3 linked regions of the Neurospora crassa OR74A genome follow. The protein of the gene in region 2 interacts with the protein of the main gene of each other region in a pairwise test. Links are inferred from orthologs where the notes say so. Each region holds a gene or a part of one and is shown on either strand. Other genes may lie near its edges.

What was found.
Region 1: the proteins of NCU08008 (region 2) and cr-1 interact in binary tests that used the Saccharomyces cerevisiae proteins (3 or more experiments, as listed by UniProt). The link is inferred for Neurospora crassa OR74A from reciprocal best matches to the Saccharomyces cerevisiae genes SRV2 and CYR1.
Region 3: the proteins of NCU08008 (region 2) and NCU06843 interact in binary tests that used the Saccharomyces cerevisiae proteins (3 or more experiments, as listed by UniProt). The link is inferred for Neurospora crassa OR74A from reciprocal best matches to the Saccharomyces cerevisiae genes SRV2 and RPL3.

The regions. Positions count from the first base shown.
Region 1 is NC_026501.1:5,569,843-5,577,758, reverse strand, and holds the start of cr-1 (adenylate cyclase), read left to right. Parts: upstream 1-3,901; 5' UTR 3,902-4,376; coding exon 4,377-4,627; intron 4,628-4,861; coding exon 4,862-5,903; intron 5,904-6,269; exon of another isoform or gene 6,270-6,310; coding exon of another isoform or gene 6,311-6,319; intron 6,320-6,595; coding exon 6,596-7,916. Other genes in the region: NCU08376 (hypothetical protein), read left to right, coding at 1-1,338.
Region 2 is NC_026504.1:3,895,076-3,903,177, reverse strand, and holds NCU08008 (adenylyl cyclase-associated protein), read right to left. Parts: upstream 4,620-8,102; 5' UTR 4,350-4,619; intron 4,200-4,349; 5' UTR 4,097-4,199; coding exon 4,053-4,096; intron 3,790-4,052; coding exon 3,540-3,789; intron 3,472-3,539; coding exon 2,638-3,471; intron 2,581-2,637; coding exon 2,140-2,580; 3' UTR 1,695-2,139; downstream 1-1,694. Other genes in the region: NCU08009 (DNA replication licensing factor mcm3), read left to right, coding at 1-1,587, 1,661-1,694; NCU08007 (PfkB family carbohydrate kinase), read left to right, coding at 5,508-6,989; NCU08006 (hypothetical protein), read right to left, coding at 7,413-8,102. UniProt on the Saccharomyces cerevisiae protein: The N-terminal domain binds to adenylyl cyclase, thereby enabling adenylyl cyclase to be activated by upstream regulatory signals, such as Ras. The C-terminal domain is required for normal cellular morphology and growth control.
Region 3 is NC_026502.1:1,782,284-1,790,140, forward strand, and holds NCU06843 (60S ribosomal protein L3), read right to left. Parts: upstream 4,283-7,857; 5' UTR 4,154-4,282; coding exon 4,141-4,153; intron 3,912-4,140; coding exon 3,833-3,911; intron 3,707-3,832; coding exon 3,550-3,706; intron 3,492-3,549; coding exon 3,468-3,491; intron 3,398-3,467; coding exon 2,748-3,397; intron 2,690-2,747; coding exon 2,434-2,689; 3' UTR 1,995-2,433; downstream 1-1,994. Other genes in the region: NCU06844 (hypothetical protein), read right to left, coding at 578-828, 1,021-1,480, 1,597-1,599; RCM-1, read right to left, coding at 5,624-7,509, 7,562-7,718, 7,779-7,857. UniProt on the Saccharomyces cerevisiae protein: Component of the ribosome, a large ribonucleoprotein complex responsible for the synthesis of proteins in the cell.

The sequences.
Region 1 (7,916 bases), on a different chromosome or scaffold from region 2:
GTACTCAAAATACCACCAGCAGCCGCCGAGAATGGGAAGGCGGACGCTCCCAGGACGAACTTTCGAATCCCCGATGCGATATCTGGCTCCTCTCCAACCAATGTTTCCTCGGTAACGAAGCTTACCAAGACAGGCTCTGTACGACCTCGTGTACGGCCTGTAAAGTCGAAATCTGACAAGGAAAAGAGAAAAGCTGAGGAAGAAGCCAAGAAGCGACAGCCGACTATTCTACGAATTCCAAAGGACTTTTCATCTCCCTTCGATTTGGACAAAGAGCTGGAATCAGGATTCGAAGAAGCAGACATTACGTTACCTATACTGCTAAGCTCACCCCTCAAAAATTTCGACTCCGCTCCTGAGTCAAACCGGAAGCTCGTCTGCCCGATGTGTGACGAGGATGTCGACGAGTCCTTCTTTGACACCCTTAGAGCGAGGCAAACTAGAATGACTCTTCACCAAGAACAACAGTTCTGCCTTTCTCACAAGAGGAAATCAGCCAAGGAAGAATGGCAGAACAAGGGATATCCTGACATCGATTGGACTGTGCTGGACAAGCGGATAAAGAAGCACCACGACTTTCTTCGCACCATTCTCAACGGCGGTAAATCCTACTACGCCAATGCCCTCAGTGACAAGATCAAGTCGGGTCAGAACAAGACTCTACTGAAATCAGAGGGGAATCTGACTCCTGGGTACTACGGCATGCGCGGTCTGCGGCTTATGTCGGAATCCTTGGTCAATGAGTTCTCTTCAGAGTTACGGAAGAGAGCGGTGCAAGATCGCCTGGTTTCGAAGCGTGGCTATATGGTATACGTACAATCCGTTTTGGTCCCAGAGTTGGCTGTGCGGCTGATTATGGAGGATATGTCTCAGGAAGGGACAGACAAAGTGACAGAGGAACAGGCAAGGACTATCATGAAAGACAGCACATGGGTAGGAGAGCTTTTGAACGAAGAAGATGCAGACCACGTCTTGTATGAGGACGAAGAAGACGAGGAAAGCCAAAATGATGAGATGGGCCTCAGAGACGAGGACGAGGCTCATCTCAGATACGAGTATGAAAGCAGGTTGAAAGACGAGGACGAGGAGGAGCCCAAGAGCGAGGATACAGATGGTGAAGAAGGACAGGACGAAAAGATCAGGTCCAATGGCAATGATATCATTCACATCAGAGATGATGATAGAATCAAATCCGGGGATCGAAAAGGCACAAAGCAGGAGAGCGAAGGTATCAAGTCCAACGGCAACGATATCAATCACATGGAGGTTGAGAAGGATGACGACAGTCATTCAATAATATCTTCAATATCCAGTCTATCGGAACTCGGCGATCTTTAATCATTTTACACGCCCATTTCTCCGAGAGCACGCGTAAGAACTATATCTTGAAGAGTTCACAAGGTGGCCAACCTGAAGGATTTAGTTTGTCGTCGGGAGCACTGTTGATGGGGCTCAAGCATGCTGATGTTCACATAGCATGTGCTGGGAGGAGCAAATAAAACAACCTGTGAGCTGGGCAAGCTTCTCTCGTTTCTTATATCCTTGATCGTGCAACACCTTGGGCGTTTCTCCTCGTCTTGGGCACACATCAATGTTCTTCTCACAAAGCCCCCTTTTCCTTCACCAAACATTGTTGGTTTGTTCCGGGTTGCCATGTAAGTTGCTGGTTGGAAGGGATTTAGAAGGAAACCACGTCTGTTTGTAGAGGTTTCCATTTGTTTCAGGATAGAAACGTGCGAAGTCACAAATCAGATTCACTGTTCCGCGATTGCGGCACTACCAATTATGAAACTAGACGGAGCTACAACTCTTCAAACCATGCCCTGCGAACGTTAGCTGTCGCGAACTATCAGCCCCATGCAAACTTCAGGCGGTCCGACTTTGTTTCTTCCAAACTCGGTAGCTGTTCCGAGTCATTGCCAACTCGTTTTACGCCGAGTTGTATTTGAGGGCATACATTTGAGCTGCTCTTTATCCAAACGGCACCTAACTTGACATCCATGTAATCTCTCACAGCTTCATACTTACCCCTACCCCTCACAGCTGTCTTCCTCTAGAAGGAACAAAAAAAGCGAGGGACTAGCGGCCTACCCTGTGCTCAAGTAGACCCATTCCGACGAACGACGCGCTCTCTGTGGCGAGACCCAGGGAGGGAACCCATTCATCGGGTTTTATCCTCAGATCGAATCACGGCATGCCAGCTCAATCGAAAAGCTCCCCCTCTCTTTGTGGAGGGAAAATCAAGTTGTCCATGAACTAGGCGTAAAGCTCCAGATCGGCTCTATTTCTTGGCTTCATGTAAGCAACCTTCCAGTTCGTTGATGAGATGAATAACATGGAAACTCGACGAAAAATGGGATGGGGGCAGATTGTGGAATTGGAGATGCAGTCCCGCTAGGTATCTACCTATCTAACGACGAAAAGCCTACATACCCTAGCTACCTAGGTATGATATTGGAACTTTAGCGTGCTTTATCCCTCGCCGGGGCACGCTCTGTTGGTTACAGGTGTAGGTTAGGTGAGTGGAAAATAGTGTAGAGGTTAACGACACCCCGTCACTACACGTGTTCGGGTAGCTAGTAGCCCCGTATCTTGAACCGCGGGCTAATGTTAAGGCAAGGTCCCTTATTTTACGGGGTAGAGACACCGAGCGACGGCGGACGCTCGCACCTCCCACGTTAATGGGGTCCGGGGACCGACCCGACCATGAAGGTACCTCCCGTCTACACAAGGTACGTACCGTGCCTGGCGACCAATTCTCATATTCAGGCCCTCGACACATTGCATGGTTCCTTGCAGCTGTTGAGATGTTAGGTTGTGTTTACAGATGCAGTTCAGAAAACAGGCGCTTTCAGTCGTTCATACTGCGACATTCACAGATTTTACATAGTAGACTACTTGGGGGGTTCTGGGCGCCAAGTAAGACATCTCAAAACAGGAACATCGTGAGCTTCAAGTTCACAAAATACCTAGAGGTACCGACAGGGTTGCGGAGCCTGAGGGAGCGGGCATACCCCCACGCGGAGCGAATTGATGCTGGCTGGCCACCCCTGCAACTGAAGTTTGCCGTTCCGAATCGATGTACCCCTACCTCTACGTACGGCTCACCGATATGCGCACCATCCGTTCGGGTGCCCTGACATTGACACCAGACACCGACTTGACATGGATACCTACCTATAATTTCGGGGTGCTTTGGCGCACAGGAACCTCTCTGATGCAAACACTGTGGCCACGGATGGGAAGCCTAAAAAGCTTCTATGTTTTGTCACCGAGATAACTCGGGCGGTCCCGCTAGTGCACTGAGATGGCAGATGGGACTGTAGGTAATACAGGCCCGAACCGGCAGCAGGTTATGCCGTGCCTCATATGTCTGCTTCGGTCGCTGAAGTATGTAAATACGTCGGCTTCAGGTGATAACTCATCATAAAATACATGTTGGAAAAACGATTGGACGCTTCTTTGAAGAGGCCCTGGCAGTCAGGTTGCATGGACTCCAGCCGAGCACCAACTCGCAGTCCTGAAAGGCTTGGGGTCCTGGAACCCAACTTGAAGAAGTTGCAGTGGCCGACAACCAGAGGGACAGTGTAAACTATCCTGATGTTCACACTTGCTCGTCAGCCCCCGTTTCCTTCTCATGTCTGCAATGGGCAATATCACCGCCCGGGGACCTTTCGGACTCAGCCCGGCTTGTTTATCTTGGGCGGCTTACACACGGGCTCAGACTGTCACACGGCTGTAGCGACTCCCGCTCGGTCAAGAAATCCGAGTGCTCTGCTCTTTTTGAGGCCCTGTACAGATTTAGCTATGGGGCCAATCGCTGCCACAGTACACTATTGTCGGAGCCCCAAATGCCGACCACTAGGGTACCTAGAGGTAGTGATGAGGACTGGACACATAATTGTCGAGTTTCTGATGGTGGGCCATCTTTGGCGCACATCTCACCCACCACCCTGGTCCGCCGTCCGCCCACCCATGTTGGTACCCGGACGCCAGTGACCTACCGCCCTACCTCCACGCCCACTCACCTGCTGGTGAACATCGACATCTGATCCATTTCCCATTCGCTGCAAATACCTAACAAGAGACGATTAGAACCACTTTGCCGGCCCAGCAAAGAGGGCAAACGCGGACCTGGACTAGCCACCCACGAGATAGCAGCTGAACACCTCAACAACACACCAGCATAACGCCAGCAACGTCTTGGGTTGTCGGGATTCAACGTCCGCATTCTTCGTCACCACAAGACACGCCCGCCATCTTAGCATCGGACAAGGCCATGACCTGAAAACACTGGCCATCCCCATCCTCACGTGGAATGGCTGTGGTCTCCTGGTAGTTGGCATCTTTGTTCCGCTCGCCTCCCGCCGGTGACAATGACGAGAAATGACGGCGGCTCCCGCTACAGCTCCATCGACAGCGCACAATCCAGCATCACGGCGAAGCCATTTCCCTTGACGCCGACCAGCAGCCTGGGCAGCTCGATGACACGGCCGCTGTCCCCGTCGCTGCAAGCGGGCAGCAGTAGCAGCAATGGCGGCCACAATGTATCTCGGTCCGCCTCACAGGGTGCGCGCAGGCCTGCGCCGACGCGTTTGAAGACGGATGACGGCACCCAATTTGCGAGGTGAGTTGAAGCGAGCGACGCAGTCTGTTGTTTCCTGGGGGCTTCGTGGTTCTCGAGCGGTTCTGTGATACGGATACCTACCCAGTCTTGCTTGCACAGTCCTGTCCTGTCACCGCAACTATCCGGAAACCCCGTTCTTCTTTGCCGTCCCTTCTCTTACAAGTCAAGCCTGTTCTTGCCCTATTTTCCTGCAGTTCAAACTAACGGGTGCATGCGTCGGCCGCCCATCTACAGCAGGTCATCGAGAGATTTCGAGTCGTCGCAGTCCCAGTCGCAGCCGTCGCATACGCAGACGCGGTCGCACTCACTGTCACAGGCCACGCTTCAATCATGTTCGCAGCCGCAGTTGTCATTGAATTCCCAGCAGTCTCAATCCCCTTCTCAGTACCACTCGCAGCAGACGCCGACACAGCAACAACCACAGCAACAAGTATCGCCCACGGGGGGCTCGCGCCTGACCCAGTCGCCCACTACACCATCCAATGCGTCTATCCGCGAACACAGAATGAGCGAGCTGGGGGGATATCGTCGTGAAATGGCGGCCATGTTGGACACCACAGGCGGCGCATTGAGCCGAACGTCATCGCACAGTCAGCAGCAGCCGCAGCAGCCGCAGCAACAACAACAACAGCAGCAGCAGCAGCAGGGTCACGCTGCAGGATCAGTTTCGGGTACCTTCAGCAACCTCAGCCAGTACGCACCGTATCTGGGGGGAAACAACGGCGGCGGGATGTCCATGGGCAGCTTCCTCAATGACTCTACGGATAATCTGTCGGTAATATCGCAGCTATCGCCGGGCATCCGGCCGATGACGGCACGGCCTTCGCAGGCGTCGGCAGGCAGCATGGAGTTTCCGGATTCGGCGTACTACGACGATGAGCGGCGGCCGTCGATTGCTTCAATCACGACGACGGCGAGCAGCCAAGGGTCGCGGACTTCCAAGACCCGGGGCGGGCTACAGAAGCTCCAGCAGTTTTTTGGCGATCGGGACGATTGGCCTGGCCGAGATTCGTCGGAAATTAGCCTGCCCCAGCCGAGTCACTCGGGCCCCATGTCCACAGGGAAGGAACACCGATCACACTCTTACAGCCTACCAGGCAGCGGTCGCTCGCACCGGGACCGCAACTACTCCAATGCCACCGATCACCATCCCTCCACCTTTGGCTCCGTCTCGACTGTCGGCGGGCGAGATAGGGATGCCTCGCCCGTGCCCTCGAGGCCGCGAACCCCAGTGCCTGCGCCCGAAGTTGTGCCGTTTCTGTACCAAGAAGCCGACGTACGTATAGCCTCGCTCTCTCTTTCTCTCTTTCTCTATTTTTGTTTTCTTTTGTAATTTACTGTTTTCGATCTTCCCTTCCCCCTCTTCGCTCTCCCCCTCCCCCCCTCTTCCCTCCCCTCTCTCGTAAAGTGTTGTGGTGGTAGCTTGGTAAGAGATACAGGAGCAGTAGTATCACTAAAGGTACCCTACGCTACTTATACCTACTAGCTACTACCCTCGCTTCGACCCCATTTCCACACCTCGCCAAATCTTATCTCTGGCCTTCTCTTTCCTATCTCCACCCCGAGCTATCCCTTTTGGGAATCGCGAATTGGATGAGTAGCAGTGGGATCAACATTGGCAATGGCCGCCGGCCGTCTCATTCTTTGCTCCAAACGCAACCCTCGTTTGACGCTTCCTGCAACATGTCGGCGGTGAGATGATCCCTCCTGCCATCTTCCGTCTTCAAGTTCACAACAACCACATTAACAAGGAGCCCAAGGCAATGGCTGCGGAATCTTTTACACAACAATGACAACGACAGCCTGCCAGTGAGGTGTCGTTGTTGCCCTGCTCCAATCCCGAGAAACCCGCTCTTTGCTGCTATCCTCCAGTCTGGACTCCTCCTGCCTGCCGTGCCTACCAATCCGTATTATACAAATTGCACGAGTGATCTCTGTCGCCGTAACTGACCATTGCATGAAACACAGGACATCGCTCGCTATGGCGAAGCACCCGTTCGAACAAGTCTCACTGGCCCCGATCGCGATCGTTACATCGACAGCTCCCAGAACCCACCAAAGACCTCGTCTTCCGCCCGGTCAGGTCACTCCATCGTGCACCTACCGGGACATCATAAACACAACAAGAGTAACGAGGATCCAAGGGCTTTGAAGCCATCGCTTAGCAGGGAGGATTCGGCAGCCAGTTTCGCTAGGGATTTTCGCAACGGTTCCAGCTCTATGATGGGCACCCGATCTCGCGCACAGAGTCCAGCGCCCAGTTGGACAGGGACGTCGCGGGGACTCAAAGCCAACAGTATTTCCGACGGAACATCATCTCCAGCTCCATCGCACAAAAAGGGCATATTGGGTCGCTTCCGCCGGCACAACAAAGACAAGGAAGATGGCTCCAGCCTTCGGAGTGGCTCAAACCACACTCTTGTACACCGCCCGTCGAGACAAGACCTTACCCGCGCCGCCGAATCCACCTACCCAGCATCCGTCTACGTTTCGGACCCTAGCGAGCAGCGAGAGGTCCCTGTCCGCCCTGGCTATGTGCGCCAGACGACGGCGCCGGGGTTCACCACGAAACTCTTTACCTCTAAGAAATCGAGCTCGGCCAAACAGCCCCAAGATGACATGGACGAGGACATTGGGCCCACTGACATGCACATGGGAGGTGGAACCGTCTATCATCTCGATACGAACCTTAATGATATGGAGGGAATTTTGACCAAGCCTCAACCCATGACCCCCTTGGACAACAGCATATCAATGCGACGCGAATCAGAAAAGATGATTGTCCCGATCACGACAGATCCGGAGGGCGCATGGGCTGCCCCGGACAGTTGGGCAGTGCGCGACAACAAAAAGTCTCTCGCCCCTCAGGTAAATGAAGACTTGTGCTCACGTCAACCTAGCGAGGAAAAGGAGAAGAAAAGCAATTATTACATTCGTGTCTTTAGGTCAGATAGCACCTGGACTACGCTCACCCTGCCCTTGACTGCGACAGCTGAGGATGTTATCATGGGTGTGGCGAAAAAGACTTATCTCCCTCCGGGTGCTCAGGACAGCTACTCTCTCCTTATCAAGAAGCACGATTTGTTCAGGGTCTTGAATAGCGCCGAACAACCCTTGAGAATCCAAAAACGACTCTTTCAGCAGATAGGTTATCAAGAAAAGGATGGCATTGACGAAATCGGTCGCGAAGATAACAGTTACATTTGTCGATGGGTCTTCCTCAAGGAGAAGGAAGCCGACATGCATTTGCTCTCACCTGACATCAACTTCAGGAACCAGAAGCTCAATC
Region 2 (8,102 bases):
TATGGCTGACCGTGGCGTCGTCTGTATTGATGAGTTCGACAAGATGTCAGACATCGATCGTGTTGCCATCCACGAAGTCATGGAACAGCAAACTGTTACCATTGCCAAGGCCGGTATTCACACCTCCCTTAACGCCCGTTGCAGTGTTATCGCCGCGGCCAACCCTATCTTTGGACAGTACGACACCCACAAGGATCCTCACAAGAACATCGCCTTGCCCGACTCCCTCCTGTCGCGTTTCGATCTTCTCTTCGTAGTCACCGACGACATCGAGGACACCCGTGACCGACAGGTATCCGAGCACGTCCTTCGCATGCACCGCTACCGCCAACCCGGCACCGAGGAGGGTGCTCCTGTGCGCGAGAACGCCGGTCAGGCCCTCAACGTCGCCCTCAACGGGCAATCCGAGTCCCAAAAGCCCACCGAGATGTGGGAGAAGTACGACGCCATGCTGCATGCCGGAATCAAGGTGCCCAGCGGCCGCGGGTCTGCCAACAAGAAGCCCGAGATCCTCAGTATCCCCTTCATGAAGAAGTATATTCAATACGCCAAAACGCGCATCAAGCCGGTACTGACGCAGGAGGCTTCCGACCGCATTGCTGACATCTACGTGGGCCTGCGCAACGACGACATGGAGGGCAACCAGCGCAAGACGTCGCCCATGACGGTCCGTACGCTCGAGACGCTCATCCGTCTGGCCACCGCCCACGCCAAGGCACGCCTGTCCAACCGCGTCGAGGAGCGTGACGCCGCCGCTGCCGAGTCCATCCTCCGCTTTGCCCTTTTCAAGGAGGTGGTCCAGGACGAGTCGCGCAAGAAGCGCAGAAAGACCCGACCCGCCGAGGGCGAGGATGGCATGTCCTCCGACTCTGACGACTCTGATGACGATGACGACGACGTGGCAACTCAAACCACCACAGCCCGCTCCAGCGCTGCCAGAGCTTCTCGCGCTTCCCGCGCTTCCCAACGCGCCAGCCGACGCACTCCCGCCAATGGCGCTTCCTCCTCCTCCGCAGCAAACGCCAACGGCACTCCCAGAGAGGAAGAAGAAACCCAAGGAGCAGAAGAAGAGGAAGAAGACATCTACGACGCCACCCCGCGCCGCTCAACAAGATCTGCTCGCACAACCGGCGACTCACAACCATCCTTCGCCTCTTCCCTTCCCGCCTCGCAACTTCGCTCCACTCGCTCCCAACGATCATCTCGTCGCACCGCTCAGAACCAAGACGACGAAGAAGAACTCGCCTCCGGAGCCGCCAACCTCAACGTCGACGAAGACGAAGACGAAGAAATGGACGTTGACGGCGAAGCCGCCCCAGAAAACCAAGAAGAGGAAGAGGAGGAAGAAGAGGAAGAAGAAGATGAGGAGCCAGCACCAATAAGCGAGCACCGTCTTGACGTTTTCCGTCGGGCGCTCGGTCCGTTGTTGAACTCGGGACTTTTCGAGGACGACGCTGCGGATGTGGATGAGCTGATCAAGGCTGTTAATGAGAAGATTCCCGGAGGCAGGAGAGGCGGTGAACAAAAGTTTGAGAAGGAGGAGGCGCTGCAGGCGTTGAGGGAGATGACGGAACGGAATCAGTTGATGTGAGTTACCCTTCGCTTGATATTGTGAGGTGTGATGATGTCGAGGAATGATGCTAACGCTGTTTGATGATAGGTATACCGATGGTCAGCTAGTGTACAAAATCTAGTCTGGTGGACTGGAAAGGTTAAAAAACCGAATTGATGCTGTGTCTAGGAAACAGGTAGAGATGATTTTAGGTGGGTCATAGATATGGATGAGAAAAGTACTACGGCGGAAATGGTCTAGACAGAGAGACATGCCATAAACAGCCAAGTTTTGTCATTGATAGGCAAAGGTGTTCGGCGTTTTTTTCAATTGAAATAGGAACGTCATGAGATGATATGGTTCTTGAAAATGATGATGGGTACTGTCGAGTTGGCATACCTGCGGGATTGAAGATGATTTCACGCCCGCTTCAGAACATGCCATCCACGAATATTCAAATCAAGGCGTGCTATTATGTAAATTGGAGAATATGTGACAACAACGCTCACGATCAGAACCAAACGCCACCTCGCATCAAGCTACTCACTTTTTCCGACAATCTCGACGAAGCAGCGACCAAATATGAATTAACCACAGTGAGAAACGATCTCGCTGATAAGCTCCTTCTTCTCGGGATCGTAATACGAGCAGATTTGGGAAGGAAGAGGAAGCTCCTTGGAGTCGTCGTTCTCGTCCACAACCATGATATTGACGTTGTCCGTCTTGCTCTGGAACACCCTTGTCGAGATGCTCTCCTTGCTCAGCCAGATTGTGGCTTGCTCGACTTGATCCAAAAGCACAGTGGGGATCGTCTCGTTGACTTGGAGCTGGAAGTTCTTGGACCTGACAACGTCGACAGTAGAAACAAGAGTGTCCACAATAAGCGACACCTTGTCGCAGTTGTCAATGTTGACAGCGTTGGCCTTGCCCTTGACGACGATGACGACTTCATTACACCTGCTGATGAGGATGGACTGGGAAATGGAGGCCTCGATCTCAACGTTGCCAGCGGCAGCATCGTAGTTTTCCTAAAGCACTGTCAAAAACCTTGAATTTACACCACAATGTCCGGCTGGAGAACTTACAATAATCCACTTGTTGCCCTCGAGAGCCTTCTTTGCAGGTTTCTTCGCACGCATACTCTCAGGCTTGGGCGGCTTGGTTCCAGGCGGCGCAGGGCTCTTGGACCGTGCCGCTGGTCCGTCGGGAACGGTTGATCCTGCCCTGAGGGAAGGGTTCTTGTGTGTCATCTGCGACTTGTCGACCTTCTTGAGACCCTTTGTAACTGCTTCGCCCTTGTTGAGCTCAGACATGACGGAACTGAAACCACCCGGTTGGGCCGGTTCCGCCTTCTGCTCATTAATCTTGAGTACCGGAGGAGGTCCAGGAGGAGGAGGTGGCGGAGGAGGAGCTCCTCCGGACGGGGCTGGAGACGCGGCAGGTGCCGAGGGAGCGCTGCCGGATTCAAGACACTGGACGACCTCCTTGTAAGGCTTGCCGTTAGGGTTCCACACAATGCCGTTGTTGTAGTAATCCTTGGCATATTCCGACAAGTCTTTGAAGATCTGGTAGAAGGTCTTGACCCATTCTGTATGCTGGGGATCAGTGTTTTTGTTTGCCTGCATGACTCTGTTGCCCAGGTATTCGGCAGATGACAGGCTTTCATCAATGAGCTTGTCAGGCCTAGACTGAACAGTGATCCAAGCGAGGAGCATGATTCCATCGGCCACCATGCCGAGGTGGTTGAAGAAGGGAGAACCGCGGTTCTTGTCCTTGATTTCCTGAGTGGCCTGGATGGCCTCGCTGATAGGCTTGATAGCCTCCTGGAAATCGACCGAGTTCATGTCGAGCTTCTTGGACTGGGAGGCGGCGAGTAGGAACTTGCGCGTCTCGGCAAATCCCTTGAGGACACTCGCAGCCTGATAAAAATGGTCAGCTTCCCGCTCTCTGCCCACAAAATAGATCCAGAACTGTGCAGGATAGGTACCTGCTCAGCAACCAAGCCACCGATAAGATTGCTGGTCTTAACATATTTCTGAACAGTTTGGTTCAAGAAGTCGTCGAACTTTTCGACAGATTCGGGAATTGGTACTGCGGCAGCGGGTGCAGGAGTGGACACAGCAGTGGACGCGGGGGCGGAGGGGGCGGAGGAAGCCGGCTCAATGACGGCCTGGGAGCCAATAGGGGGGATGGTGGACGAAGCCATATCCTCCAGACGGAGGGTGGCCGCCTCAAGTCTGCGCAAGTACTTAGCAACGTGCCTTGACCATTATTCACTCGTAGTCTTTTTTTTTTCTTTCTCGCTTTGCGCCGATTTTTCTGGCGCATTCCTTGCTCGGGGACTGGATCTTCGTCGTCCTAGCCTCAGAGCGGCTCCCATGGAATCGGCATGGCTAAGAATGCGCCAGGTAAAATAATGGGCAATGCGGGTGTTGTAGAAGAAAGCAACTATTCGTAGGTGTGGCGATATCAAGTTGCGGTAAAGAAAGCTGAAGCGTACCTCTTGATCAAGGTGACCAAGTTGTGCATATTGTTGGTCGCCATTGTGATTATGATGGTCCCTTAGGCGGGACTTTGGAAACGTAGTAGGCTTCGCGGTCGAGTAATATAGAAGTTGGAAGGAGCAAGGTGTACTCTGTGATTAGAACTGTCGGTGCCAGCTTGCGGTATTAGCGATCCTGCCTTGATGATGATGTGAAGAGAGTGCCGTGGGCAGACCCGGATACCTCCGGTGGAAGAGAGCTCGTTGAAACAGAGGGAAGGTATCGTCCTGAATATCTTGATGAGAAGCACTTACCCTTTTCGCTGAACCGTATAATTTACAAGGAATAAGAAGATATCGCTAGATGGAGAAAGAGGAAGAAAAGAGTCCCGAAACTTGCACAAGGAGGAGGTCTGGGAAGGTGTAGTTAGGTGCCCCAAGATCTGCTGTGCTGGAACATGGGATGTCTGAAGGTTGACGGTCCGGGCTGACAACTCGTCGATTGGAACCCCTCGTCACACAACCCCTACCTAGCACGGGCATCTGCCCCTGGCGCCTGCCATGCTTGTACACTGCCTACGGGCGGCCACAGTGTACGGGGCACACCTTCTGTAGACGCAGCACGCTAGGTGATGAGCTGCTTCCCCACGATAGCTTCATAGTGGGGTCATGGTGGGTCGTCTCATCCATCGTTTAAAATTACGCGTTTCGGGACATCCTCCAACAAGAAAGAACGAACACCTTGCTGGCCGCTCTCACGACTCTGCAGTAGACTAGAGTGCACGGCCACCAAAAGCCCGCTGGGCGTACAGGCACCATCCACGCCTCATATCCACATATGAGTTACCACCTCACCAAGCATACCTAAACAAAAACAACAAGTCACATCGTGCTACTGCAACCGGATCAACAACAAGCACTCTCCCCGTTCAGAAGCTCGCTGCTTGTTTAGCTGTGTATATACGAGAACGGTAATGCTGATGCTGATGCTGAAGACTTGACATGAGTAGGTCTGCACAAGCAGTCATTTAAAGTGTCGAGGATCGAGATGACAGGATCGATCCCATAACCTCCCGTCCCGCGGGTCCGTCCCCTTTCTCCATTCCTACGCCTCGCAGTAAAAAACCTACCCCAGATAGCTGATTCTAGCTAATAAGACGTTGAGTTATCAAAACATCAGGCTCTTTATGCTTTATGCCGCCTGATGGTCAGGCAGAAATAGCAGACTAGCAATAGAGGTAGCCTAGCCAGTAGCCACATCAATATCTACATACGCGTCCATCTTTCCAAATAGGTCTTCATCCCTCCATCGGTGTCTCACTCTCATAACCCCTTTCAGTGTCACTCACTTACATAGCCCACACCCACCTGTTGTCTATCATCGCCTGGCCGTTGCCGCGTCGTACTCGCATACACTCCTTTCAAGCGTCCACTACAATTGATTGATCCTACACAGTCACCACAGAGAACAATATGACAGACAATAACGGCAACCCGGAAGTGCCCGGCCAAAGTCCAGACGATGTTGACAAAGCCTCGGATGAGAGCTCAGAATGGCAAGATATCAACGACACTCCCTCAATAATAGACTTTGTCACCCTCGGCATGTTCATCATCGGTAAGTGCCCAGGAACCACAATCAGGCACCAACTAAGCACCCCATCAGATGAAATCGAATACCCTCCGCCCCGTCCTCCATCAACCAACGTCTTAGGAGGCGCCGGCTCCTACTCCGCCCTCGGCGCCCGCCTCTTCTCTCCAGCTCCGGACCTCTCCCGCACCGTGGGCTGGATCGTCGATCAGGGCTCCGACTTCCCCCAGGCCATCACCGATCTCATCACCGGCTGGTCCACCTCGGCCGTCTTCCGCCATGACCCCACCCGGCTCACCACCCGCGGCTGGAACGGCTACGTCGGCTCCTCGGAGCGCCGCGAATTCAAGTACACCACTCCCAAGAAACGACTGACGGCCGCCGACCTGGTCGGAACCCCCTTGTTGAAGGCTAAAGCCGTGCACATGGTCTGCAGTCCCAACCGCTGCAAAGAGTTGGTGGAGGAGATCATCACCCTTCGCAAGCGCGAAGCCCGACTTGCTGCTGCTGCCGCCTCCAACAAGAACAACAACAATAACGACAACGACGACGATTGCGACGATGTTGATGACGACACCAACGACCCCAACGCCTACACCCGCCCCTTAATCATCTGGGAACCAGTCCCCGATCTCTGCACCCCCTTCGAGTTACTAAACTGCACCAACGCCCTCCCACTGGTCGACATCTGCAGCCCCAACCACGCCGAGCTAGCCGGGTTCATGGGCACCGACGGCCTCGACCCGGAAACGGGCGAGATCAGCGTCGAGCAAGTAGAGCGCAACTGCGAACAGCTGCTGGCCAGCATGCCGCTGACGACGTACACGCTGGTGGTCAGGGCCGGGGAGAAGGGCTGCTATGTTGCCAAGAATGGGGGGCGAAGGAGGAAACAGCCACCTATGAAAAGGGGAAAGAAGAAGAAGATGAAGGTAGGGCTGGACGCCCGAAACTTCCACGGCGGTCTACAGCACGACACAGACATGATGTCTCTCTTTGCCGGACTTTTGCAAGATATGGAAGACCGGAACAACGAGGATGACCCGTTCGGTCGTTTCGATGTCGAGGAGGGGATCGAGGTCGATTCGGGGATCGAGAGGTGGCTGCCCGCTTACCACACGGACGCCACAAAGGTCGTCGATCCCACGGGAGGTGGGAACACGTTCCTGGGTGGGTTGGCGGTGGCGTTGGCGAGGGGAAAGAGCATCGAGGAGGCGTGTGCGTGGGGCAGCGTGGCAGCAAGTTTTGCCATTGAGCAGGTGGGAGTACCGGAGCTGGGGATGGATGTGGAGGGGAGAGAGACGTGGAATGGGGAGAGGGTGGAGGAGAGGTTGAGTGGGTATCTGGAGAGGGTCGGATTGTTGTGAGAGCTTTTTGTGATGTTGATGATTGAGTTAGAGACGTGACGGCGGGTTGACTTGATCATACCTAACGGCTAGAGAGATGGTCACAAAGATAACAGGGATGAGAGAAAGAGTTGATTGTTATGACCTTTAGGAAACGTATAGACATAGAACGACTATCTGGGTTGAAACTTTCGCAACCTTATAGACCTAACTACCAAGACATACAATGCGCCACGCTCAGCTTTTCGTAACAGTGATATCATGCCTTTGAACATCGAAAACCCATCCGTTTAACTCCAGAACCTGCTAGCTAGACGCAGAAAAACCGCTTGAATAATCCATCTTCATCATGACATTATTCCAACAACGTAATCATTCGTTCATCACCCACAGAAATCATCCTTCTTGGATCCAAGTAGGCATCCAAACTTGCTATCATGCCCACTAAGCATTGGTAACTGTCAGCCTCTTCTTATCCTGCCTCCCTCCCTCTGTTATATCCTCCGAAAAGCCAAACCCACCAGCCATGCCCTCCTCAGCCACCTTCCCACTGACATGTCTTTGCCTACCTGCTCCTGCTCCGCTATAACTGAAATCGTAGTCATGGCCAGACGAAACCACCCGGTAATTAGCAGGGTGGCCTGCAAGCAAAGTTGAAGGTATGTCAGAGGTACTAGGATCGTAGGGCTTTGCTCCTCCTCCTTCTCCTCCTCCTCCTCCTCCTCCGCCGCCGGAAATGGCAGCAGAAGAAAACAAAGCCTCGGGTTGAATGGAGGAATCTCGGTTCCTCATTGGTTCCTGGCTGTCTGGTTGAAGATGTTGGGTTTTCGGAGGTTGGCGGACTTTCTTGATGTTCAACGGGTTCAAATTCAACGGACGAAGAATCGACTCGCGCAAGCGGCTGAAGGGGGTGATAGACCTTTCTGGCCCCAGCTCCGAGTCGATAAGCAGAGTCGGCGAAGAAGGGTTGGAGCGCAAGGGGTTGGGGTGCAGGTCTGCGAGATCGATGTCGTCGTCGTCGTCATGGCTGTTTCGATAGCCCAATTTGTGGTTGTCGCGGGCTGCCCCGGAACGAGGAGGAGAGGAGGGGCTCTGTTGCCGTTGCAAATGCTGATGCTCGTCGTCGGAGTCGTG
Region 3 (7,857 bases), on a different chromosome or scaffold from region 2:
GACTTTGTCACGTAACTGGAGTAAGTAACATGAGGCCGGAGAGTCGAATATGACTAGAGCAGACTGTAATGGTTAGCTTCCCGAGATGAGCATAGCCTTGGAAATTGGCGGATCATGGAAACATGAACCATGAACTTGTCAACGAGAACGTGACAGGGCACTAAGCTTCCAATACATACTGCCAGTCTTTTACCATGCAGATCTTAGATAGGAGAAAATGAAGAGAAAGGATCAGTGAGGTACAAAGACTGGCTGAGGGATCGCACGCTGATGAACAAGTAATAGGACAAGAGTTACTACAACGAGTGAACGATATGGGAACAGAGATACTATGTATCCTTGAGAGCTTGTCTAGAGGTTTCATGTGGCTGAAGGTAGGACACGGTTTAAGGCTCAATAACAGGCAGCTTCGGTCCTTGAAATAACATCCAGAGCGGACGACATAGACGAGAGGGAAATTAAAGAAATAAAAACTGGTTCATTCAGCCGTGGTATCGTGATAATAACATCCCATCCAGATTCTTAATCCGAGCCACCTTCATCTGTTGTCCTCTCATCCCCTTTCTCTGGAATCCGTCTAACTCTCAACAGCCAAAGCCCTAACACCAACCAGCAACTTCCCATCAACACTCACACTCACAACCCAATACTCCACCCGCACGCTGTCCTTCGCAACCCTGTACACCTTCACATCACGCCCTTCGCTCGCCTCCGTCACCGCATCAATCAAATCAAGGTACTGCCCGTTGCGATCCCAGTCAACAGGGTCCAAGATCTCGATATCGGCGTCGGCGGGGCTGGGGTGGTTGATTAAAGAGGCGAATTTTTCTGTTTTCATTAAATGTCAGCATCTTTCTTGTCTTTCGACTCATCCTTTTCTGCTCCTGTTCCTGTTGCTGCCCTCCCTTCTCTTCCATCTTCCCCCCGCCGCCCCAAAAAAAAGAAAAAGGAACGAAATCTTTCCCCCTCCGTCCCACCCACCATCAAACTCACGACAGAAAAAAAAAGAGAGAAACTTACCCTCATCCGGAAGCATCTCCTCCCCAAACTTCAACGCGACCCCCTCAAACGGCTCATCCGCATCGCTCACATAGAACTTATCCCCCTTTTCCAACAACTTGGCAATCGGAGACGGGAGGGGAACCCCCTCGTCGCGCGTCTTGAATGTATTGCTGCCGACTTTTTGCGTTGCCGGGTCGGGGCGGTCGCGCGGGTACCCGAGCGAAGGGTCCTCGTTGGCCTTGTTGAGGAAGGCCATGTAGGAATCGTCCGAGGCCATTTTCGATGTGGTGGTGGTGGTAGACGACAGCTTCGCGGTCGAGGTGATGATGTGCGGTGTACGAGGCGTATGAAGCGTAGTACCTGCGGAAAGGGACGTAGTGATGCGCAAGAGCGGGAGAGTGAGAAATCGTTGCGCTGCTGGTCGTTGCAAATGGAGAAGCGTAGAAGTTGTTCGAGAGAGAGGCAATCCAGCGGGTGTCTGGTGTTCGAGAAAGAGCCGGGTAATTAGCTTTGCGGATTGTCGACAAAGAGTTTGTGTTGAGGATGGAAGAAGCAACTAGAACAGATCTGGGTCAGGGTTAGGGAAGTTCAAACCATTATGTTGTTGTGTTTAGGTTGAGAACGTTTCGTTGGGCGGGACGACGATGACAATGATCAGTCAGGTGGGTGGGCTGCGTGGTGGGATGCGAACGAACGTCCGATGATGTAACCTGCAGTAGCTGAAACCAATTAGGAATGGCGGATCTCACGTTGGCCTAAGAGTGGAAGCGTCAACCAATCAGGAGATGGGCTGCTTGCAAGGTCGATCGGGGTTTGATATGCCCTCAACAAGTAACAACAGCCATGTACGCCGTGAGGACTCCCAAAAGCACGACTAGGAATATGAGAAGATGGTCGAAAAGTGATATCATTATCAGTCGTGGTATCGCAGATGAACAATATCAGGAAGAGAAAGCATAGAGACGGGTAGTGAATGACAGGTGGAAGCTCATGAACAGTTGATAAATCGAACACGTCCAGCGCAGCAGAACAGGCAACGAGAATCACACGACATGCTACATTCAAGACTATCAAATTGGGTATATCTATATGCCACTGGTCCCTTCAAGTCATTACCCTACACTAGTGGGGGCATAGCAGCCCAAGACAAAAGTCCTGGAATAAAACATACGAAGTTATAAACAACAGTGTCCATCGAATCTGTGCCAACCACCAGATTCTTCACGTGTTCACATCACATAAAACACATTTTGCTGAAGGACACTCTCTTTGGCAGTACACTGGATCAACGTTTCATTGTTCTTCAACAGCTTTTTATTAAGCCGTAAATGCTAGGTATAGTCCCATTTCCCGACCGACCCGAAAGAGCAACGAAAAAACCGTGACACCAATGCAACCCGACTAACAAGGAGATCAACTGCAGCAGCCAATTTACGAGCTGGCAGCGAGGTCCTTCTTGAGGGTACCCTGGAACTGCTTCTTCTCGGCAGGGGTCTGGAAAGCACCATGACCGAACTCCGAGGAGGTGTCGATCCACTTGAGCTCGACCTTCTCGAGGGCCTTGCGGGAGGTGTGGACGAACATGGACTTGCGGAGAGTCATGACTCTCTTCTTGACACCGGGAACGGAGCCCTTGACCATGACGAAGTCGTTGTTGATCTCGCCATAGCGGACGAAGCCACCCATGCTGGAACAGGGTTAGTTTTGCGCTCTTCAACTTCTTCAAGACAGACGGGGATACATACGGGGTGATCTTCTTCTTGGTGACATCGACCTCGGTGGCAGCAGAGTCCTCAGCATCGCCCTTGCCAATGCGGTAGATCTTGTGGTTGACCGAGGTACGGTGGTGGTAACCGGCCTGACCAGCGCGAGCAACAGTCCACTGGACGTGGGAAGGATGCCAGGCACCGATACAGGCGACCTTGCGGAGACCCTTGTGGGTCTTGCGAGGAAGCTTCTTGGTGCCCCAACGAGCGGTGACACCGGTGAAACCGTGACCCTTGGTAACGGCAATGACGTCGATAACCTCGTCCTTCTCGAAGATGGAGTCGATCGAGACGGGCTTCTCGAAGAGGCCGTGGCCGAACTCGACCTTGTCGGCGACGGAGCCACCGTTGATCTGGATCTCCATAAGGTGGGCCTTCTTCTGCTTGAGGGGAGTCTTGCGGATCTGGGTGTGGGCAAGAACACGGACGACAGTGCAGTACTTCTTGATGCGCTCGAGCTCGCGGGTGATGGCGGCACCGTTGTTGTCGGAGTGCTTCTTGACGTACTTGGTGAAGGCCTTCTTCTTGGACTTGTACCAGTTCTTGTAGAAGCGGCGCTTGACCTCGTCGGACAAGTGCTCAGCCCAGACGGTGGTGAGGGAGCGGAGACCGCGGGGAGTCTCGATGTACTAATATCGGGGTTAGATCACACGGTCGCGGTAGGCCATATACGGCAGCTGGACAGGATCAAAGACTTACGCCGACCAGACCCACAACGATCATCTGCGAGAGATGTTAGCCATTGACACAAAAAGAGCCAAGCGGGCTGCGTTGTACGTACAGGAGGGGTATCAATGATGGTCACAGCCTCAACGACCTCCTTCTTGTGAGCCTTGGCGCCGGGGCGGTCGAGGTCGCGGACGATGGTGGTCATGCCGGCCTTGTAGCCCATGGCGGCGGTAAGGTGGACGGGCTTCTTGGCATCATCCTTAGGGAACCTGTCATGAACGCGCAACTGGTCAGCCTCTCTGTTCGCATGCCCTATTGCCCAAGTTCCGATCGCGAAAGATCCAAACTACTAGCGATAGTGTTGTCGATGGTACCAGAAGATAAGCTTGACTTACGACTTGACCTTTCCCCTGTGGCGGGCCGCGCGCTTGCGGGGAAGGTAGGCCAGCGAACCGTGGCGGGGAGCCTCGTACTCTGAAGCATCGAGTCAGCATGAAGGACGTTCAGGTTGCCATGAGGTCCAAGTCGTGATCACGCATGCTCCCCAAAATCCAGTCGCCAAAAAGTCGAAAATTTCGATATCGCGACGACCGTCTCTCGGGAAAGCTGCTCCATCGATTCTCTCGAAGTCGGGATTGCGTGTAGAAATCGACAAAGACCGTATGTCTGGCGGCGACAGCGACGGCGATGAGGCGTTACTTACTACGGTGAGACATGACTGCTGATGATCCCAAGTACCCGGGTTGTTGATGGTCGAGTGGGAAAAAGTTCACTACCGCGAAAACAAAATCAAGAAGTATCGCCAGAGAAATTGGACCAGCCAAATTTTTGTGTGAGTGGTGTGGATTGGACCGTGCACGGGCCTCAAGTGCAGCGGAGCCCTAACTTTTGCGCGAGCCCTTTCCGGCGGGCATGTCCGCCTTCCTGTTCCTCGAGCCCGCCCAGCCAACCAGCGATGACCAGCCAAGCCCAGAACAATCCACCCCACAAGAGCGACCCCGTACACTTAGTCAGCTTGGCGGGCCATTCACTAATGGCACATTGATGACAAGGTAAAGTCCTGTTGAGGTGGCAGAAAACGTGACTTTGATTGCTCTGCGTATAAGTCCGTCATCGTCGCCGCTGCCGCCGTAGGTACGTTCGCAGATGGAATACGAGATATGGGATTTTTTCGGCGCCTGCGCGTGGCAACGGCTCTGTTTGGTCTGGTCGGTTACAATATGTTGAGCTCCAATCTTCGTTGTTCCCCCCCTTGACTCCATCTTGATCACACGGCTGATTCTCCGAATTCGATGTCCGCGCCCACGGTGTCAAAGAGAGCAAGCTGTTGTGGCTTTCAATAGCCTAGGTTGGGCTGTTTGGATCAAAGCGAGATCTCCATCTATTGGGGTTGTCAGCTGCCTGTCAGAAGCATGACGACATTGTCAAATGCCCCATCTGCTTCTTGACTCAATACCTCTAGCTTGTCGAGCTCGTGGACAAGGGCATTATAACAGTCGTAGATGTAAAACAAGTGGGTTGGCTTAACATGATTACATGATTAGGCGGACATGCATGGTCAAAGGCGTACTGGTTACAAGGGATAACCACGAAAGCACTACACTTAGCTGTCATCTCCTTGACTTTTCGGGCTGAGGCGCCGTTCAGCCATTTCAATAACACCGTATCCCGTGCGGGAATGATCACGACGTTGCAATTACGATCCCAAGAGTGTAACGACAATCGTAATCATGTTCTCTAACTGGCCTCTATGGCAAAGCAGCGAGTTCATTTCCGCCTCTTGAGGATATTCCCATTCCCTTCTCGCTGTCGACTTTCCAACAGATGACATGCACACGCTTCTATTCCAAACACAAGTCATAATAATGTATGTACATCGGAATCCGCTCCTTCCTCTCCCTCCTCATCTCCTACCGGTCAGTCAAAACGTGGTAAAATAGTGCATTTCGCACCCATGAGATCTTGAGCTTCACAGGTCCTTCTGTCTCCATCATCCATGTGTGTGAAATGATGACCACTCTTTCAAACCACATAAAACGAACAAGTCGACGTACATTCCCATCCATAAGCAAAACCATTATGACATCGACAGGATCTTGGGTTCTCCTACCTCTGCCGTATTATAAGCAGATACACTGGGTCTTGTCTCTCGCGCAGAAGCTCGAGGTACACGGCAGATGATGTAATCAGTTGCTTTCTGACTTTTGTCCCATGATGCCGTTGAAGCTACCGCTCGTTGAGGCTCCGTTCTTGGACTCGTTTGCTGCAGGGCCGGATCCGGAGGAAGGACCGGGAATAATTCCGCCCTTCTTGTCCTCCTCTCCGCTATCGTCATAGTCCTCGTCAACGTCCATTTTACGGGCCGCACGCTCAGGCTCATTGACGATGGGGGGGTGCTGGGCTGGAGGATGGTCCATCCGTCGGTCTTCGGGGGCGGGCTGATGTGCTGGGCCTGGGCCTTGCTGCTGAGGTCCGGGGACTGGCTGCTGGGGTCCGTGGCCTTGCTCGTGGATGAGGTTCTGCATCGGAGCCGAACCTTGCTGCATCGGCGGCAAATGGGCAGGGGCGGAATGAGACTGGGGATGATGAGCGGCCTCCGAAGGATGGTATCCCTCGTTCTGGTGCCGCTGCTCCTCAGCCCGGCGCATGTCCTCCATGCGACGTTGTTCCTCAGCCCGGCGCTGCTCCTCAACCCTACGGGAATCTTCCATACGACGCTCGTCGAAGCGACGAGCCTCCGACGAGTTGCGACGAGCATAGGGCGGCTCCATTCGGGGCGGGGTCATCGAGGGGCGGCGGTGCCTATGGTCATCCATACGGACGCGAGTCTCCTCCGTCGCAGGCTTCTTCACCTCCCGGTCGTCTTCCCACTCACGCATTCTCTTGGGGCCAACCGAAGGAGGGCGGGGATCATGCTCCCTCTGATGAGGAGGTTCACCAGCCATACCTGACTGAGGGGGGTGAGGAGGGCCTGGCTCAGGGCCACCAGGACCGCCCTGCTCACCATGCGGAGGGTACGGCGGCTGATGCTGAGGATAGGCGGACTTGGGAGACGGCATGCGGTTCTCGTGCATGTGGGGTGGTCTTCCATCAGTCCTCGGACTGTTGTTAAAATGCATCATTGCGTTTGGAGGAGGAGGGCCGTTTGGGCCAGGACCAGAATTGGAAGGGACCACGTTCTGGGGATTAGCGTAGTTCGGGTTCCTCACTCTAGTACCACTACCCCCTTCCCGAGTAGGTTGAGGTCCTTGCTGAAGCTGTTGCTGCGGGTGCGGCTGGTGCGGTTGTTGCGGAGGTGGAGGGGGTGGAGGGGCGTAATGAGCCTGGGGAGGGGTAGGTCCTCTTCTGAGCGGCTCGGGCGCCCTGGCCTCCTGATAAGGCCTCATTTGCTGCTCCTGTCGCGGGCTGGGCTGTCTGGGAAGCGGCGGAGCGGGACCACGAAAGGGCTCCCGGTCTTGACCCGAGGCATATGGGTTCGGCGGCTGGGGAGGAGGGTTAATGTCGGAAATTCTTCCACCCCACGAGTTGGCCCCTTGGCCCGGGCCAGGGCCACCGTTGTGCATCGGCTGAGGCGGTTGATGAGGAGGCTGGCCTGAGCCTGAGCCCGCCCACTGAGGGCCCGGAGGACCAACCGCACCGGATGCATTATACGTCTGGGGGTGGATATCAGTGGGCATCGGGACTGACCCCGGGGGTGCGCCGCCATTAGCTTGCCCACTTCGGAGGAGCTGCAATCTGGTCTTGATATGCGGGTTGTTGGGATCCAGTTCGGCGGCACGTTGATAAGCGTCCAGAGCATCGCTGATCTGGTTGTTGCAAGACTCATACAAAGTGCCAAGGTCATACCAAACTTCAGAAATGAAGGGGTTGAGCCTGATGGCCCTGGAATAGGCGTCCAAGGCGTCACGATACTGGTTGATCTGGTAGTATAACACACCAATCGAGCACCAGAACGTAGGGTTCCTGCCATCCCTATAAACAGCTTGCTGATAAGCCTCGTATGCCTTAGGGTACTTTTGAAGTTGCATGTAACAACGACCGAGCAAGTACCAGCTTTGGGCATCGGTTTGGTCTGGATTATGTCAGTATAGGTGCATGAAGAAGCCAAATGCATCGAAACTTACCAGCTGCAACGGACTGATTCAGGTACTCGATTGCCTTTTCCTGGCTGGCGACTGAATTACTTTGCTGGTGATGCAGCCAGCCCAACTGCTGAAGGACCTTTGCGTGCTTTGGATCACGTTGCAGCACTCGCTCGTAGGCTTGCTTGGCACCATCATACTGCCACAACGTCAGGATTAAGAGTCGAGGAAAGAAGTATAAAATGCAAAGCAGACTTACGTCTTTTTGCTGTTCATGGACGTGACCAATCTGGAACCAGATATCCTCTTCGGTCAAAGGAGTAGGAGGAGAGTTGACA